Arabidopsis thaliana: one gene and its partners. Each later gene encodes a partner of the first gene's protein in a complex. Each region holds a gene or a part of one and is shown on either strand. Other genes may lie near its edges.

Region 1 (5,799 bases):
ATTTAATATCATCTATATTAGTTAAGAACGCACGTAATAACGCACCATAAAAAAACATGTATATATTAGTTAAGAAAACTATTTTAAGCCAAATACGTTCATTTTAACAAAAAAAAATATTATATAACAAACACGTAATAACGCACCATAAAAATACACTCCCGATATAATGTGCTTATAATAAACAGATTTTCTTAATTAAACAAGATTAAACCAAACAAATACAAATATAATATCAAAAATAAATAGATATAAAAAGTAAGATGATAAATTCAAAATATAACTTGATTATTTAAATATAGATGATATAGAATTAAAAAAATAATATAATTTCTAACGTAAATAATCAACCCGTGGTATACCGCGGGTCAATATCTAGTTAGTAATAGATAAATTTAGCATTTAGTTGCTTTTAAAGAAATTTAAATAAATTTCTGTAAAAATTAATTAAAAATAGTAGCCAGCATGGAAATTTTTTCATATTTTCATTTGCCAACTGGCTGATAAAAAAGGTTCTGTTAATAAAATTAAGCTGTTTATTTATTTTACTATTTAATAATCATTTCTCAGATTTTAAACCTAGTCTATATAATAACATTATTTTGAAGACTAATATTATATTTAAAAGGACAAGAAAAATATCGAAAATATTATGAAATCTCTGAAATTTAAGTTAGAAAGTAAACTGGAATCTCATAAACTAAATGAATATATATTTTACTCTATTTTAAAGCATATATTTTTAATAGTCAAGTAGTCATTATTTAGTTATTTATAAATTATCTTAACCTATATATTTTTGGTAAAGGGTTTTGTTGCACCAAACTTAAAAAAAAAAAGGTTTGCAAAACTAGTAAACCAAACTCGGACCTAATCAACCACAAGAGTAAGAAAGCAAAAAATTACAACCCAACATGTATATAGCCTTCACATGTTGTGCCACTGAAGTGAAAAGTTACAACCCAACATGTATACAACCAAACTAATAATCGGAGACAATCTATCTTTTGCATATATATAATAAAAAAAACTCATTTCTCAATTCCTCATCAGAAAATCACCATAATACATCTCACACTATTGGTGCACATAATGTCTTTTACTAGAAAATCGCAACAACATATCAAAATTTTGTCAAAAACATATCAAAAAACACCATAATGTCTTTCATGTGTTTGTGCCTTTGCGGACGGAAAAATGTTATGGACGGTCCCGTCCATTTTCAAAATCTCAATATCAATTTCTGTATTTCTGTATTGTGTCCACTGAAGTGGTAGAAGTTGTTTTATTCTATAAAATTCATTAGTATGCGTAGATTGATGGATGAGCTATATTGAAGTTTTCATACACTAACTTAGAATTTGTGATCAAAGAATGGCAAAAGGTACATATTAATAAAAGGAATCTCAGCAGAAATGAAATGACCAGGGTCCTTACAAAATTACATAGAGAAGATCAGAAAAATTTTAACATTCAAGAAACATTTTGTGTCAAAGATTTACTTCTCCAACTGCAACATTGGGCGAGGCTGGATACTCTTCATACCCTGTGATTCCGGTAATCCTAATCCTCGTATTCGGCTACAATATCAACACATAAGTCACAACATAAGTGTCATTACTTCAAAGAGATTTCAGTTTCATCAGCCATAGCAAATTACAACAAGTAACTGATAGTAGTCTGTTGATTGTAACATTACATAGTTCAAATATAAGGAAGAGGACTTTCAGCAATACCTGTCTGTGACCGATATTTCTACGGTACTTCTTCTTAGGCTTGTACTTGAAGACTACCACTTTATCATTCAAACCCTACAACAACAAATGACATTCCGGTTATTCCAAGTTTAGAGGCGACTACATAGTCGAAAATACAAAACCACCAATCAGAAATTTAAGAAATCGTTTGTATTGACTTACTTGACTTTCCACAACAGCATGTACAGTGGCATTGGTCACAACCGGCTTGCCAATGTAAGTGTGTGTCTTTGTTCCAACAAGCAACACTTTGTTGAGAACAATCTGCACAAGAGAAAAAACAAAATATGAAAACTTCAGGAATCACCAAAAATGCAACAGAGAACAGCTTAACACAATGTTAACATAGGCAAAAGAATAGAACTTCTACACAAGCCACAAAGTTTACTCAATCTTCCATAGTTACATCATCTTTTCACAGATATACCATTTCGTACACAGAGTTTTTTACAAAGAAGAACACATCACATAGTCATTGAAAGCAAATGTGCATATACCTGGTCATCAACATTTGCATCTTTTAGCCTCTGAGTGTAGAGATATCTCCCTGGAAACACTATGTATTGGCGTCCACCAACCTATTCAAACCAAAGAGAACAACACTAAGCTAAATCAGAGATTGCAAATGAGAGAAACAAAATCAATTATAACAAAGCCAAACTCTAAACCTTGAAGAGTATATGCCACAAAAACACAATCTCTCCCTTAAGAAGTCAACATTCGTTAAACCTAAACCCTAAATCTTAAGAGTAGATACCACAAAAACACAGTCTCTCATTATCAAAACTCTAAAATCAAATTCATCAATCAACCAAACCTAATTCCGAATTCCAAAAGCTAAACACCGAAATTGAGAATTTGTTGTTTCGTATGATTCAACAAGCTCACCATAATAACAGCGAAAATCTCTTCTCGTTTAGCTTTTTCCTCAGTAACCTCCGAAACATCGGAAACCACCACAGCTTCGATATCGGTAGTCTCCGGTTCAGCTTCGACGACTGATTCCGCGAATTTCGGAGCGACGGTGAATGCGGTTCGAGACGTCGACGCAGTGGAAGGAGAAAGAAATCCAGTCAGAGGTTTAGCCAAATTAAGCGAAGGTTTAGAGAGAGAACAGAGGATAGTGCTAGAACGGCGAGAATTGACATTGCAATGAGCAGAGAAAGTAGAGCAGAGAGAGAGCGTCGCTGAAGAAGACGCCATTGTTTTCGACTGAGAGAGAGCTCTAAGCTCGAGACTTTGGAGCTCGACGGAGAATAAATCCGCAGTGTTATCCTATCCACTTCCTTTGAAAATTACCATTGTACCCCTGTCTTCAAATTGGTTTAATTTCTAAGCTTGCAATTTCGGTTTACCGGTTTATTTCGGTTCAGATTTTGGGTTTTCCAATTAAGTAATATATTATATACACATCAATTTTGGTTTTGTTCGATTTTTGACAAAAATTATAATTCTAACTACTCTTAATCTCTTTATAGTGTTTAGTGTATTTAAATGTACTTTATATTTAATTAGTTATATTAATTCTGAATATTGGTTAATTACAAATTCACCAAATTTGGTTTCAATTTGAGATTTGGTCTGGGTTGTTATAAGAATTTAGATTTGGTTTGGGTTGTTATAAGAATTTTCTACAGTTTCACAGTTTGTATTATAACAAAATTACTTATGAAATCCGATTTTGGTTCGGTTCGGTTTCTTTTCGCCATCCCTAAATCACATTTCTTTGGAATTCAAAAACTTTTATATGAAGCAAAAATTATCCATATGAGGATAAAAATTTAGAAAGTTGCTCATGTACAAAAATAAAAAGGAAAGCAAAAAACAAGCCAGAATATATTTTTGTATCCTTAGAAATTAGAATTCAAAATATAAACGAAATTAAAGAGAAAAAAAACAGAAATTGTGGAAGAATGATGAGTCAGTCATCAGATTTTTCACCATCAACTCCAAAAGCATCAGCAATGTTGAAGTTCAAGTTCTTCATCATGGTTCTGCTTCTCCCAACTCCATCTCCTTTCCTCATCATTGCTGTAAACTCCGAGAAATCGATCTTCCCGTCCTACATAATTCAAAAGCTCTCGGTTATAGTAAAGTAACATTGAAGAAGGAGGTAAACAAAGAGAAGAAGAAGAAGAGTGGTTTACATTGTCAAGATCAATCTCCTTGATCATGTCGTCCAGAGGTGTATCACATAGACCAAACTCTGTGCAAGCTGACTGAAGCTCATCGATGGTGATATAACCGCTTCCGTCTTTGTCAAAGTACGAAAATGCAGCCACCAGATTCTCCTCTCTCTCCATCTTGTTCATGTGTAAGGTTGCTGCTAGGAATTCTCCGTAGTCTATTGTACCACTGTTGTCGATATCAGCCTGTGACCACAACACACAGAGGATGTTAAACGGAAACAAAAGTTTTTGAAAAGAGGAAAGAGTTTGTTTTGGTTCTTTCATACCGCATCCATGAGAGACTTGATTTCTGATTCCATCAGTTCAGATCCGACTCTCTTCAAACCCGCTTTGAGCTCTTCAAAAGTAATCGTTCCGCTGTTGTCTGTGTCTATCATCTTGAACAATTCCTTCAGACCTCCAATTTCTTCCTCTGAAAGTCTCTCAGCAATTACCTGTGTTCAGAGAAATCAGCATACGGATTGGACATAAAGAAAAAGCGAATGTATATTACTCGAATTCATACCCGTAATGCCATTTTCTTAATCTTATTCATTTGAGAAAACTGCTTTAGACGAGATAAGACTGCTGGATCAAGAGGCTTGTCTGGTGCTGCTTGTTCATCGACAATCCATGGGTGACCTATATAACATTCAGAGCAAACTCAATACTCATTATTTACCATAAAAACAATTCACAACAGTTGCTAATTCCAAATGAACAACAAAGAATGAACATACACAAGGCTTCATGAGCAGAAATGCGTTTCTTGGGGCTCCTTTCGAGCATTTTATAGATCAAATCTTTAGCAGCTTCTGAGATAGTAGGCCACGGGTCAGATTTGAAATCTAACTTCCCTTGCAATATCTGTCTAAAGATTCCAGACTCAGTCTCTGCAATGCCCAAGAGAAAAGAATACATCATTCAAACAAAAACTCGAAACTTGTAAATAGAAAAGACTCTACTTTTTTAGTAGACTAACCTGCCCAGAAGGGAGGAACACCGCTGAGTAAAATGTAGAGGATAACACCAGCACTCCACACATCTATTTCAGGTCCATAACATTTCTTTAGCACCTCTGGTGCAACATAGTACGGACTTCCAACTACGTCATATAAATATTGTCCTGAAGAAGCAAACAAAAACCAATTAGCCGATAAACTGGCATTAATGAGAAGGTTCAAGCCAGACACACAAATGCAGAATAATTTCGATCTACACATTAAGTTTCAGAGACTCCTCAATGACGAACATCTATACACATTAATTTCGATCAATACAATGTTCCCTCTAAGAAGGTAACAAATTTGAATCCAACCAAACAGATCATCAAACCTATACATACCGAAAACCTTATTTCGATTTGCAATCCATATAAAACACAACAAACCTGTTTCTATCAAGAAACCACTTTGTTTCAATTTTCGATTCATAGAAAACACAAATAACCTGATTCTACAAGAAACCAAACCAAAGACTTAATCAAATGCAGAATAGTTCCAATCCACACATTCAAAGACTCCTCAATGAGTAACAACTAACCAAAGCAAGCTCCCTAACTACACCTTATAGACATTGTCCTGAAGAGTAAACTAAAACCAATTAGGCGATGAACCACCAACAATAAGGTTTCAAAGAATCACAGATACAAGCCAAAATACACAAATGCAGAATCATTCCAATCAACACATAAACTTTCAAAGACTCAATGAAGATACAAAGCAAAATTCCCTTAAGCAACGAAAAAATCATCATCAAACCAAAACACCAATTGCAAGATTAATGAATCAATCAACCAAAAGAGAAAAATCAAACCTGGCTTATAGAAGACAGACAAACCAAAATCGGTAGCCTTAAGCTTAGCATCATCTTTA
Region 2 (5,582 bases), on another chromosome or scaffold:
GTTGCTTTTAAGGAAATAGTAGTTGAAGTAAAACAGGCTAAAGAGTATGGACTTTTCACGAAAGCAGAAGACCAAGACAAACATGGAGGAAGCTTTTTGCATGAAAAGCAAGTCACATGTTGTGATCCAGAAGTACCAAAGATCTTTGCATGAACACTATACGTAAGACACTTACATAATAAAATAATCGTGTCAAAAGCATCATAGAAAGCTGTGCAAAGCACATGACTGGAGTTGGTAAGACAGGTCTTCAGAAAAATAGTTACAAATAAAACATACAAAGCTATTCATATGCAAATCTCATAAATCACCTTTAGATATGCAATTTTTGTCTCAAGTCTCTTGTACTTAACATAACACCGCATAGCTCACAAATCTACGCTGAAAAGTTGACGACTTTTGGTCAGTTTAAAATGCAGGATAAGTGTAAACTGATGTATGTGAACAGCACAATGCAGCTGTCAAACTCAACTTCAGATAAACTTTGCACTAAAAAAAAAACACAGTTTTGACCATTAGTCATTTAAAATAGTTGTGGGCAGATAGATCTTTTGACTTAATTGTAATATAAGGTATTAGGTGAATCATCGTGGTCCGATCATTGCTATATCAACAGTTTTGTTATCCAACTACAATGGTAATGAGAAATCAACATGTGAAAATCTACTACTGCTAGTTAACAAGAGCATCGATCTCAAATCAAAAACATTAAATTAACAACCATCTCAGTATCTCACAGGTTTGTTGGCTTCCAGAAATGACTACATACCTGTCAAGAACTCATATATAGCAGCCTCGATAGCAAACTACTAGTAAACGAAACATGACTTCTTATTGAACTATGTTTATATCAGTCGTATTCAAACTTTTAAGAAAAGAAAAAACAAAGAGAAGAAACTACTAATTTGAGATTATTTTATCACTAGTCCCCACTTCTGAAAGAAGATTTCAACACCACTGAGTCAGAAAAATTATTGGCCAGATCTTCAATATACTAATAAGAAAAGGACAAAAATAGTAAAACAAAAACCAAACCCATTGTTGGTTGACTAACAAAAAAAACTAACAATGAAGTCTCAATGAGATTTACCAAGATGAGATTTTTCTACTACATTCGATTGCATAAACGGATTTTATTTTGAAAGTGAATCGCTGAAATCTAGGGTTTCATGCCCAAACAAGAAACATCATCGGAAACATAATCGTATTAGTTGAATCCTTAAAATCTGTAAGAAATATCACTTTACCTCATAGACTCGCCGGAAAAAAAATCCAAACCCAGCCGGAATCTACCACCGAATACCTCATCTACGCACACAAAGACAGAAACTTTAACGCACCATTCTATTTCTAAGCCCACCATTGATTCCTCAATAAATTCCTAATTTTCCCGCCAATGTTTTGGATTTTTCCTTTTATTTATTTATCTTTATTCTTATTTGATGTTTTTCGAACTTCGAATGATTACTAGTTTCTTTGTCAGATTGGATGATAATTCTGATGAAACATGAAGGAACGATTTCAATCTTTAAGGGATTCATGTAAACTACTTGATAAGGAAAGTGTTTACACCAAAAGAAAAACAAATACAAGATGGTTCAGCAACAAATAACAGAGATTAACAACATCTCGAGGAAACAACAAGGAAGAGACCATAAATCAATAGCGGGTTTTTTCAAGCAGATTTAGCAGCTTCAGCTGCTTCTTCTGCAGCTTCTTCTTCTTGAAGTTTCTTCAGAGACGGAGGTGGTCTTGGTACTATGCTTTTCTTCCATTGTCTGTCAAGTTTCCTCGACAACCTTTTCTTTATCCCTTCTTTGATCTCCCTCTCTCTTTTAACCGTCAACATCCGAGCAACCTAAATCACCCACAACCAAAAGATCACATCTTCAGTACCAGAAAAGAGACGGACGTAAGCCAAAAAAACCAAGAAATCTCTACTTGAATTTAGTGTCATCTCCAGCTAAGTTGGGTGGATTAGTCACTTAGAGCTCAAGATTCATGTCTGATTGAAATCCCAGCAATCAGTAAAACCAAAGCAAGTAAATTCTCATCTAAAGCTAGTTTGGTGCATTGGCACACTTAAAAGACTAAACAAACGATATCGCAAAGCTCAACATTCATGTCTAACTGAAACCGTAGTATCCTAAGAACATATTCGAAGCTTGTGTGCAAGAATCTATAAAAGGGGATGGATTGAACTCAATATTAAATCTCTAATTCCATTCCACCACCTACCAAAAACAGTATTAGATATCACAAAACAGTAACTTACAATGTTGCCATTGTTAGAGTTTAGAATCAACTATAATGTGTAGAACAAACAACACAAAACATTGCTTATAGAGTTCGCTAACATCTTCTACAACTTCATATTAAATAATCCTATTTTCCATGGTGATGATTTCAATGTTTCCATCAATAAACCACATATCCCAATTTTGTTAAACCCTTTCAAAGACTGCCAAAATCGACCAGATAACACAAAGTAGATTTCACAATTTGGAATAATTCTGCATTAAAGAGTAAGAAAAAAGCTTACTTGTTTCTTCATACGACGAAAGTCGCTAGATTTGAACTCATTCCTTGCCGATTTCTGGAGACGAAGCATAAAGAGCTCACCTTTAAGGTCAACAACCTCCTCTTGTAACTGCTCCGTCGTCTTCGATCTTATCTCTTTCAATTCCGCCTCTCTTTTCGACATCATCACCACCGACGGTTTAGGAGACGACGACGATATCGTCGCCGCCGCGGGGACGCGAGCAGAAACCTGGTGCTGGATTCTGACACCATGGAATGAAGACGAAGTTGAAGTCGCCGAAGCAGTTCCTCTACGAAAAATCGCCGCCGTCCCCGGCGTAGCGATTGAGAGACTAAGCATTGTAGCTATGGCGGAGGAAGAAGAAGAAGAGCAGAGTTCTCACTCTCGAGCGATTTTGAGGATAATGAAGAGAAGAAACTCTATGAGATAAGGCTTTTCTTATATCTTACTATTTGCCCCTTTATTTACCTCTAATTACGAAACTGGTCCAAACGTATCAAAAAAAATCAAATAGGTGTCACACAAAACGTAAAATTAAGTAAAGCCCCTATAGTTTTCAAATTGCAGATAGCTCGACATTATTACAGGGGATTTGGAACCAAGTTTATATAATTCTGAAATTGTTTACAAATCAAACAAACATTCGAAAAACTTGCCTCTTTCAAAAGCTAAAAAGTACAAATTTTTGCACCCCCACCTTTTTCTGATATTTACAACTTATCAATACATGATGTTTTTCAAATTTTCTAATTCCGCCGCAGAGTAAAAATAAATATCAGCAGCAACCCCTCTATTTATTCAGAGTAGTCCTCTGTTTTCAGATGCACTCATTCTTCATTTTTTGAGGTCTTTCCATTTTCTTCATTTGGTTGTTACAAAATAACTCAAACCTACGTTGGTTCACGATGTCGAGTTGCCCAACTTGAGCTCAAGGCTCTAAGCCGTTGAAAATACTCACCAAGAGCTAATAATCCTCGAGCCGCTTGTCGCGTTGTCAATATCCGATACATTTGTTGCAATGTTTCATGTCTCAAGTGATCAGCCTAAGAATGAACAAACAAAATCAAGAAACTGATACTATAGTATTTTCAAATGAGTTTGAATATATATATTTTACCTGATTTACGAAACTGACCAAAGCTTCTAATCTATCCATAGCAGAATTCACCTGAGGAATGTAACTTCCTTCACCGAGTTGTCCCGCTGCAACGCAGTCCGCAAGGGTGTGTTGCAGCTTCTCCATACCTTGAGTCAACGCGTCTTCTGCTTGCTGACACGATTGTTTTAGATTGCATACATCTAGAAGTTGTTGATCCGTCAAGACATCAAAATGTGGCAAAAGAACCTACAAAAAAAAACATTTGAAACATTGTAATCTTGCTTGTTTCCTTCTATTCATTAAACATTACGCTAGATTGTTATTTGTTTTATACCTTGAGAAGATCGGAGGGTCGAAATCCGCCAATCCATAAGAAGAATCGTTCTGCTGAAGTTCTCCACATCCCTGACATGACGAAGAAGACATCGGCTTTGGCAGCAGACGATTTCATCCGGAAAAGCTCAAAGTAATGTTTCATGGCGTTTTCGACTAGCGAACGAAGCTCGATATCGTTAATGTGTCCGTGTAAAACTGTTCTTAGTTCACATATCTGTCTGTTCTGTTCTTCAACCCAATGTCCATATTCCATTTCAAATGCAGCAATCCCTGCAAATCAAATAAGCTTCCACCAATCAAAATCTTGAATTCTATATTTTTTCCAAAAGACTCATTGTTCTTGATTCAAAACCTGGATTCATGGTTTCCGAAAAACCGAGAGAATTAGTATCTATTCCGTTTCCTACATAGAATCCCTGAAAACATTCATATTCAATCAGAAATTGCATTATATTTTGGAACTCGAAAGAAAGCGAATATATATTTAGATTTCATTTCATTAACCTGTTGTCTAGCACGATCGAGTTCTTGCTCTAATTGAATTAGCTTCAACCTGCTTGTTTCCAGTTGCTGAACATAAGCCTGCAAAAAAAAAAAACAATCAAATCTCTCAACTCATTAGGCAAACAGAAACAGTTTACCAAGGGGAAGAAAATGAAGTCATACCTTCTTGCGCAAGCGACTTTTCCTAGCAGCCTCGCGGTTTTGAGCAAGCCGTCTTTGTATCTGTAACGATATAACGATTTAGTCTATATGATGCGTAGAAATTTATGATTAAGAAACTGATAGAGAAGTATTTGAATAGCTAACCTTATCGGGATGTCTAGACGTTGAAGCTTCTTGATCGAACATGTGAGGAGTTCCTGCTGTTCCATGGGAAGTATCCTCTGACTATAAAAAAAAAAAAAAGATTGTCAAGAAATGAAAGCTAGTTTAAATTTCTGAAAACAGACCAAACAAATTTATCATCAGGAGGTTGAAGAGCAATGAAGTAAAAAAGTACCACGTTGTTGTCTAGTTTCTGATTATTCGGTATTATTATGTGGTTTGGTGTGTTCATAGTCCCATTGCTAATATTGCTTTTGAAACTCTCCCCCCACATACCGAATTGATGGACAGGTTCGTATATACCAACTCTTCTCGGTGGCACAAAATGTGTCGATGTCGAATTCATGTTTTCCTCAACTGAAAACAAAGAACAAATTGTTTAAACAATGTGACAAAGCATTCAAAATCAAGCAGATCAAGACATTCCAAAGAACAAAAGATGAGCATTAGTTTTCAACCAAAAGTTAGATCACACAAAGTCAAACAAGCATAACACGTAAAGCAAATAGTGAACTTTTGATGTTTCTTCGCCAAATTCTTCGAAGAAAACAGGACAAAATCATCTTTAAATTCCAGAGACTTTATACAAAGAAAGAAACCAGAGGGGACACGGAGATTCCCTAAGACCTTGGAGAGCACCAAAAGATCACAACTGAAACATATATTGTAATGACAGGCTAAAAGAACTTAAGGCTAAAAGAACTTAAAGGATTTAACTTCAAATCACCCATTTCATCAACACAAACTCCTCACCATCCGCCTTCAAATCTAAAACCT
Region 3 (5,624 bases), about 11 Mb from region 1:
GAAGACCATCAACTATATAGTTTTCTTGATCCAAACCGAAATAGTTCCGTCCAACACAGACTGGAGGAACTTCCATATCCATTAAGCTACTCTCAGCGGCAAGTCGGACTAATCTCCTCATTCTTCTTCTAGTAATCAAATGCTCTAACCTCTTGTTACGTTCCATCTCAGAGTTTCCTAAATCCATCAAATTCTTTTGATCATCCTCTGTCCAAGCTACAATCTTTTTGTCTTCACGTGTAGTTTCTTCTTCTTCTTCGCCTTCTGATGACGATGAACACTCGATCTCGGTTTCGCCACCACCACTAGTCAACCTCTCCGATGGATCCACAACGGAAACATTCCCGGTGGTTGAAAGAGTTTCTTCATCTAAGCTAGGCTCAAAGGAGAAACCTTCAGACACAAGAAAGGCTCCATCTTTCTTGAATTTCTGAAGTTTGGGAGATTTTGCAGTATTGGGAATTTCACCATAGAGAGTTGTTAAAATGACTCTGTCTCTCTCATCTTCACTAGCCTGAGAAGAGTCCCAATCTTTCCCAACCTCTTCAACTTTCCTTCTAGCGTTTCGTCGAACACTTCGTTGGTGCTTTAAGTCAGCCTTCCTTGTTTCTTCCTCCTCAGATCTCTTTTGGGAAAATGGTGAAAACCAATTATCCGTTTTGATATGCAAAAGCTTAAAACTTGGATGATTCCGAAGATAAAACACAGAGCATGCGATTAACGGAGAAGAGTAAAGGACGAAATAAAAAAGGCGTGGAAGAAAAATGTATAGGAGGAAGATAATTGCAGAAACACCAGAAACAACTGGGTGATTCCTTACGTTTCTATAAACGATGTTCGTGGAAAATCTGAGAATTTTCCAGAACAGAGTTCCGACATCTTTGGCATCGATTCCCATGTTTTAAACAGTTCAAATTCTCAGAACACTTTGAGAGATAATAACCCAAAGCATTCTGTCTATGGCGGTTTGTGTTTTGTCCTAGAGAATCAAAATGCTTGAAAGGGAAAAACAAATATGGTTTAATTGAAGAAGCGAAAATTGATCAATAAGAGAGAGGTCAAGCTTTCATTTGAAACAATAACCAGTCAATAAAAAATAGATTTTTCAAGGGTTTTTTTAGATTTTCGTTTTGGTTCTTTTTCAGTTTTCAGAACACACGGTAAGGACGGAGAAGACAAAATAGAAAACTGGTAAGAGAGGGCGGGAGTTAAATTAGTTGCTTTCTTACACATGTTTCCAAAGATTCTTGTTTTCTTACACTTTTAACCACATTTTTTACTGGTTCAGAAATTGACCCTTAAAGTTCATGGATTTTGCATCTCATATCTCTTTCTTCAAAAGATTGGGCTATCTTCTTAAGCCCACCAAGACCCATCAAATGTCTGTAAATAACATACACTATTGACACTTCCTAAGTTTTCTAGCTAATCCTTTTTTTTAGCAAGTTGTTAACAGATTTGTGTGAGACTATTCATGATTTTCAAAACCAAGATGAACATCAACGCTTAAAGCTTATAATAGCCACTCTTTCTTGTTAACTTGATGACTAAAGTCAATCTTTGTTGCTCAATCTTAACTGATACACACACAATCAACGTTACTCATGATATCTAATTTCACTCCTTACTCCTTCATTGAGAGTTGGACACAAAATCAGTATGACAAGAAATTGAGGATGATCTCTTAAGAAAAACTCTAAAAGTAAATACACATTTCTCTTGTTGTGACACAAAAAGGAAAGAGAAGACCTCATCAAGGAGAGTGAGAAGATGTACTCAAGATTAAACTCATAATTAAGCCACACTTGAAGCAATTGGAACTACGGGTGCTACTCATTCTTAAGCTTCCTCTGACCCTTCATAACACAAACAAATAATTACTTTTCCATATTAACACATCATATTTCTACCTCTTCAAGAAATTAAAACCAGACAAAAACGATCAAACACAACATTCAAAACATCAAATTTCGACAACAAGCCAGTTCCTTTCAAGAAAACACTAACCTTCCGTCTCATCTTCATCGTCATCTTCTTCCTCCACCGCATCAACACCGTACCTCGCATTCAAGAACTCCACAGCCGCAGGAGTCAGAACAAGCTTATCAGCGTTCAAAATATCAAACAGATTCAGTGTCCTAGGCGTCAACATCCTCAAGGTTCCAATGTTCCTACTCGATTTCGCCACATTCTCATCCACATCAATCATCAAGAACATAGCTTTCTCCTTGGGATCCAATCCCCACCTTTGCATCGCAGCTAAGAAATCTTTAGTCTTGGGCTTCTCAAACTTCTCCCCAAATTCCTCCACCACTATCGCACCACCTTCCGCAGATGCCGCACTCGATAACGCCGTAGATATCGCTAGCTTCTTCTCCTTCCTATTGATTTTAATTGACCAATCCTTAGGTCTTGGCCCAAACACCACACCTCCACCGGGACGTAACGGTGTTCTCTGAGATCCACGCCTCGCGTGGCCAGTTTTCTTCTGTGAGTAAGGTTTAATTCCACCACCACGAACTTCACCGCGAGTCAGTGTGGAAGCAGTACCTCGCCGCTTGTTATTCAGGTCCGTCACGATGGCTCGGTGCACAACGGCACGCGCGGTATCCTCCGGCGCCGCTTTGAGGTCTAGATACGTCTCTCCGACCTTCTCTCCTTCGAATGATAGAATCGGTAGAGTCGCTAGCTGGGAAGAGACAGAAAGCGGCTTCGAGACTCTGCCGGAGCCGAGTTTTGAAACGGAAATGTAGGTTTTAGGGATTTGGTGAGAGGAGGATAAAAAGAGAGAAGATGAGAAGAAAGATAGCGAATTTGGTGCTGTTGCAGAAGAAGCCATTGTTGTTCCCTGACCTGACCTATCACAACGAAGAAGAAGAAGAAAGACTGAGAAAGTGTTATCCACTCTTCAAATGCCTATCTTGTGCTTGGTGAGAATTTATGCATCTGTTTGGACATAAGGATATAACTATCCTGTTCATGAATAACTCCAGCTGTCGCTAGTAAGAAAGAGTCAAACTCCAAAAGTCAAAAGCCTCTTATATAGCCAGCAGGTTTTTTGAGACATAAAACTCTGTGATAAAACGATGATAGTTGATGATAGCTGAGACTTTGATACAGATATTTGAGATACGAGCGCACGTTAGCTAAGACCACCGCGTAAGCCACCGTCTCGTCTTGAAACGCACCGTATTCATGACTTCGTCGGAGCCACTCGACCTGGTTGTCACCGTCGTCTCTGCCAAGCACCTGAAGAATGTCAACTGGCGTAACGGTGACCTGAAACCCTACGTTGTTCTGTATCTTGACCAAGACCACCCTCTCTCCACCCGCTCCGATGATTCCTCCTCCATCAAACCGGTGTGGAACGAGCGGATTACTCTTCCTCTCACCCGATCTGTCCACGAATCGGTCCTCAACATCGAGGTTTTTCATTCCAATTCTTCGGATCTGGCGAAAACCCTCGTCGGATCGGTTAGGTTTCCTCTAGCTCGTTTGATTGACTCGGACGGGTCAATGATTCCGGAATTGATCAACTCGCTCGAGCTGGTTCGTCCATCGGGTCGACCACAGGGGAAGATTCGTTTGAAGCTCGCGATCAAAGACAGACCAATCCCTCCACCGCAGCATCCTCCGCCACGTCCTCAATCTCAACCACTAGATTACTATTCTGCCCCTCAAGGAAACCATTATTACTCCCCTAGCCCTCCTCCTCCTCCTCCTCCTCAAGCACCGATCACCGCTCCATCTCCTCAGCGTGACTACAGAGAATTCTCACAGTCACCGTCTCCGTCTCCTTACGCATTCACTGATCACTACTATTCCGGGTATTATTATCCGCCTCCTCCACCACGTTCAATGTACGATCGTGCCTCCAATTACGGCCTCCCAAGTGGCCCATCTGCTCCCGTTGATGCCTTCTCATCGATTGATCACAAGCAGCCTCCTTTAGCTCCTCCTCGGTTTTCTAACTACGGTCCACCGCCTAGTGGGCCCTCAGCACCCGTTGATGCCTTTCTGGTTACCGAGTACAAGCCACAAGCTCCACCTATGGGCTCGCGATTGTCTAGCTACGGAGTGCCTAATGGTCCATCGGCACCAGTCGATTACTCTCCTTATGATCACAGGCAGTTGCAGAAGACGATGGGTGGATTGAGCTTAGAGGAAGAGAGAGCTGCTGCAGAGAGGTCTGAGAGTGATTTCGGAGCTAGGCCAAACTACAGCTATGGCCGTGATTATCGCCGTGAATGTTGAGGATGGCAAAAAGTTGTTGAATTTCACAAGTGTGCGGCGTTTCTAAGGCTTTACTTATCATCAGATTTGTTGGTGTTAGAACACCAGGAAATGGCTGATGACAAAATATGAATTTGGTGAAGTATATGTTATGTCTATATGTATGTCTCGTTTGTGAATTGATTTGTTGCTTCTTTCTAGCTGATATTCGGTGTTACCCCTTCTGTACCTTTGTACATGTTTCTAAAACATCTCTCATTTCTTTCCTTCATTCAGTTTCTTGAATCAAGCTATTGGGTTCTTAGGGTTAATGTTCTAATGTGAATCACTTTACTGTTGATTTATTGTTTGAACCATGCTCTGATTAGGTATGGTAGTATGCTCTGTCTCAGACATGAACAGTCCTATATCCTGCGATTCTGCCGAATATTTTTGCAGGCTGGTTAAAGACTTTGGTTCTTATTTCATGTTTGATGATACCAATGTGTGATTTTCGTTTGGAACCAGTGATCTCCATATTCATTGAGCGTTTGGATTAATGTGTCTTGAATCATGCTCATCACAGTGCAGAAAAGATGTTCTCTCTGATCGTTTTGGGTAAAATGGTATGTACACGGTTGGTGCTAAGTCTATTGTGCTCTTGTTATAACGATGAGACAGAGCAGTTTTGCTATTGCATTCTTTTCCCTTTTGGCATTTTGGTAACCTGCTATACATATCAGTCAATCTCATGCTATTTGCATCTAATCACTGACAATCATGCAGGTATTATTGTTCTGTTCTCAATGGAATGTTTTCACATGTAAAATCACTCTATTCTCCAGATTGTGTGATCTTCTATTTATGTCCTGACACTCCCTGGTTTATTATATGCTTTCTCATATTCTTGTACCCACCATTAACTTGTTTTTTTGTTCTTTCCTTGATCCCTCCTTTTTATTGTAGCCGCAGACTCATGAAAGGAATCTGCATCCATAAAGGTAAGATTATATTGGCCTCTCCTGGAGTCAAAAAGAAACTTTTTTAGATTGTTATGTAACTTATGTGCACACATGAGTGATCATCAAAGAAGAATGATACCAAATGGTTGCTTAACCTTTTTCTTCACTTAAACAAAGGGTTTATTCCCTCTGTGGACCGTAAAGAAAAATAGAAAAAACTAAACCTAGTCTTCTCTTTTTGCTCTTGGGCATAGTTCTCTTTATAAATTTGTAGATCCACTTTAACTACAAGTCTTTTTATATATAGGGTCTAAAATAAGATTGAAGTTACACTTTTTTGTTAGTTGTTTATTTGTTTATGTCTTGAGTGCTTAATCATGGCCTAAGCGTAATGATGTTATAGATAATATACATCATTAATCATTTCATGTCTTTTCCCGTATTTGCCTG

The links. The genes of interacting proteins can lie anywhere in the genome.
Region 2: RPL21C (region 1) and AT5G65220 share a complex: the UniProt entries of both Arabidopsis thaliana proteins name them as parts of the 50S ribosomal subunit.
Region 3: RPL21C (region 1) and RPL4 share a complex: the UniProt entries of both Arabidopsis thaliana proteins name them as parts of the 50S ribosomal subunit.

The regions. Positions count from the first base shown.
Region 1 is NC_003070.9:13,205,938-13,211,736, reverse strand, and holds RPL21C (Ribosomal protein L21), read right to left. Parts: upstream 3,055-5,799; 5' UTR 2,961-3,054; coding exon 2,646-2,960; intron 2,336-2,645; coding exon 2,255-2,335; intron 2,022-2,254; coding exon 1,920-2,021; intron 1,812-1,919; coding exon 1,737-1,811; intron 1,581-1,736; coding exon 1,491-1,580; 3' UTR 1,309-1,490; downstream 1-1,308. Other genes in the region: CDPK2 (calcium-dependent protein kinase 2), read right to left, coding at 3,679-3,819, 3,905-4,129, 4,213-4,380, 4,452-4,567, 4,666-4,818, 4,908-5,051, 5,741-5,799. UniProt on the Arabidopsis thaliana protein: This protein binds to 23S ribosomal RNA in the presence of protein L20.
Region 2 is NC_003076.8:26,058,600-26,064,181, reverse strand, and holds AT5G65220 (Ribosomal L29 family protein), read right to left. Parts: upstream 3,018-5,582; 5' UTR 2,882-3,017; coding exon 2,543-2,881; intron 1,859-2,542; coding exon 1,676-1,858; 3' UTR 1,500-1,675; downstream 1-1,499. Other genes in the region: AT5G65225 (uncharacterized protein), read right to left, coding at 1,248-1,252; TGA1 (bZIP transcription factor family protein), read right to left, coding at 3,433-3,585, 3,660-3,887, 3,976-4,247, 4,330-4,393, 4,482-4,559, 4,644-4,703, 4,788-4,868, 4,981-5,151.
Region 3 is NC_003070.9:2,246,405-2,252,028, reverse strand, and holds RPL4 (ribosomal protein L4), read right to left. Parts: upstream 3,063-5,624; 5' UTR 2,840-3,062; coding exon 2,008-2,839; coding exon of another isoform or gene 2,003-2,007; exon of another isoform or gene 1,857-2,002; coding exon 1,840-1,856; 3' UTR 1,500-1,839; downstream 1-1,499. Other genes in the region: AT1G07330 (dentin sialophosphoprotein), read right to left, coding at 1-898; AT1G07310 (Calcium-dependent lipid-binding (CaLB domain) family protein), read left to right, coding at 3,196-4,254; AT1G07300 (josephin protein-like protein), read left to right, coding at 5,024-5,213. UniProt on the Arabidopsis thaliana protein: This protein binds directly and specifically to 23S rRNA. May play a role in plastid transcriptional regulation.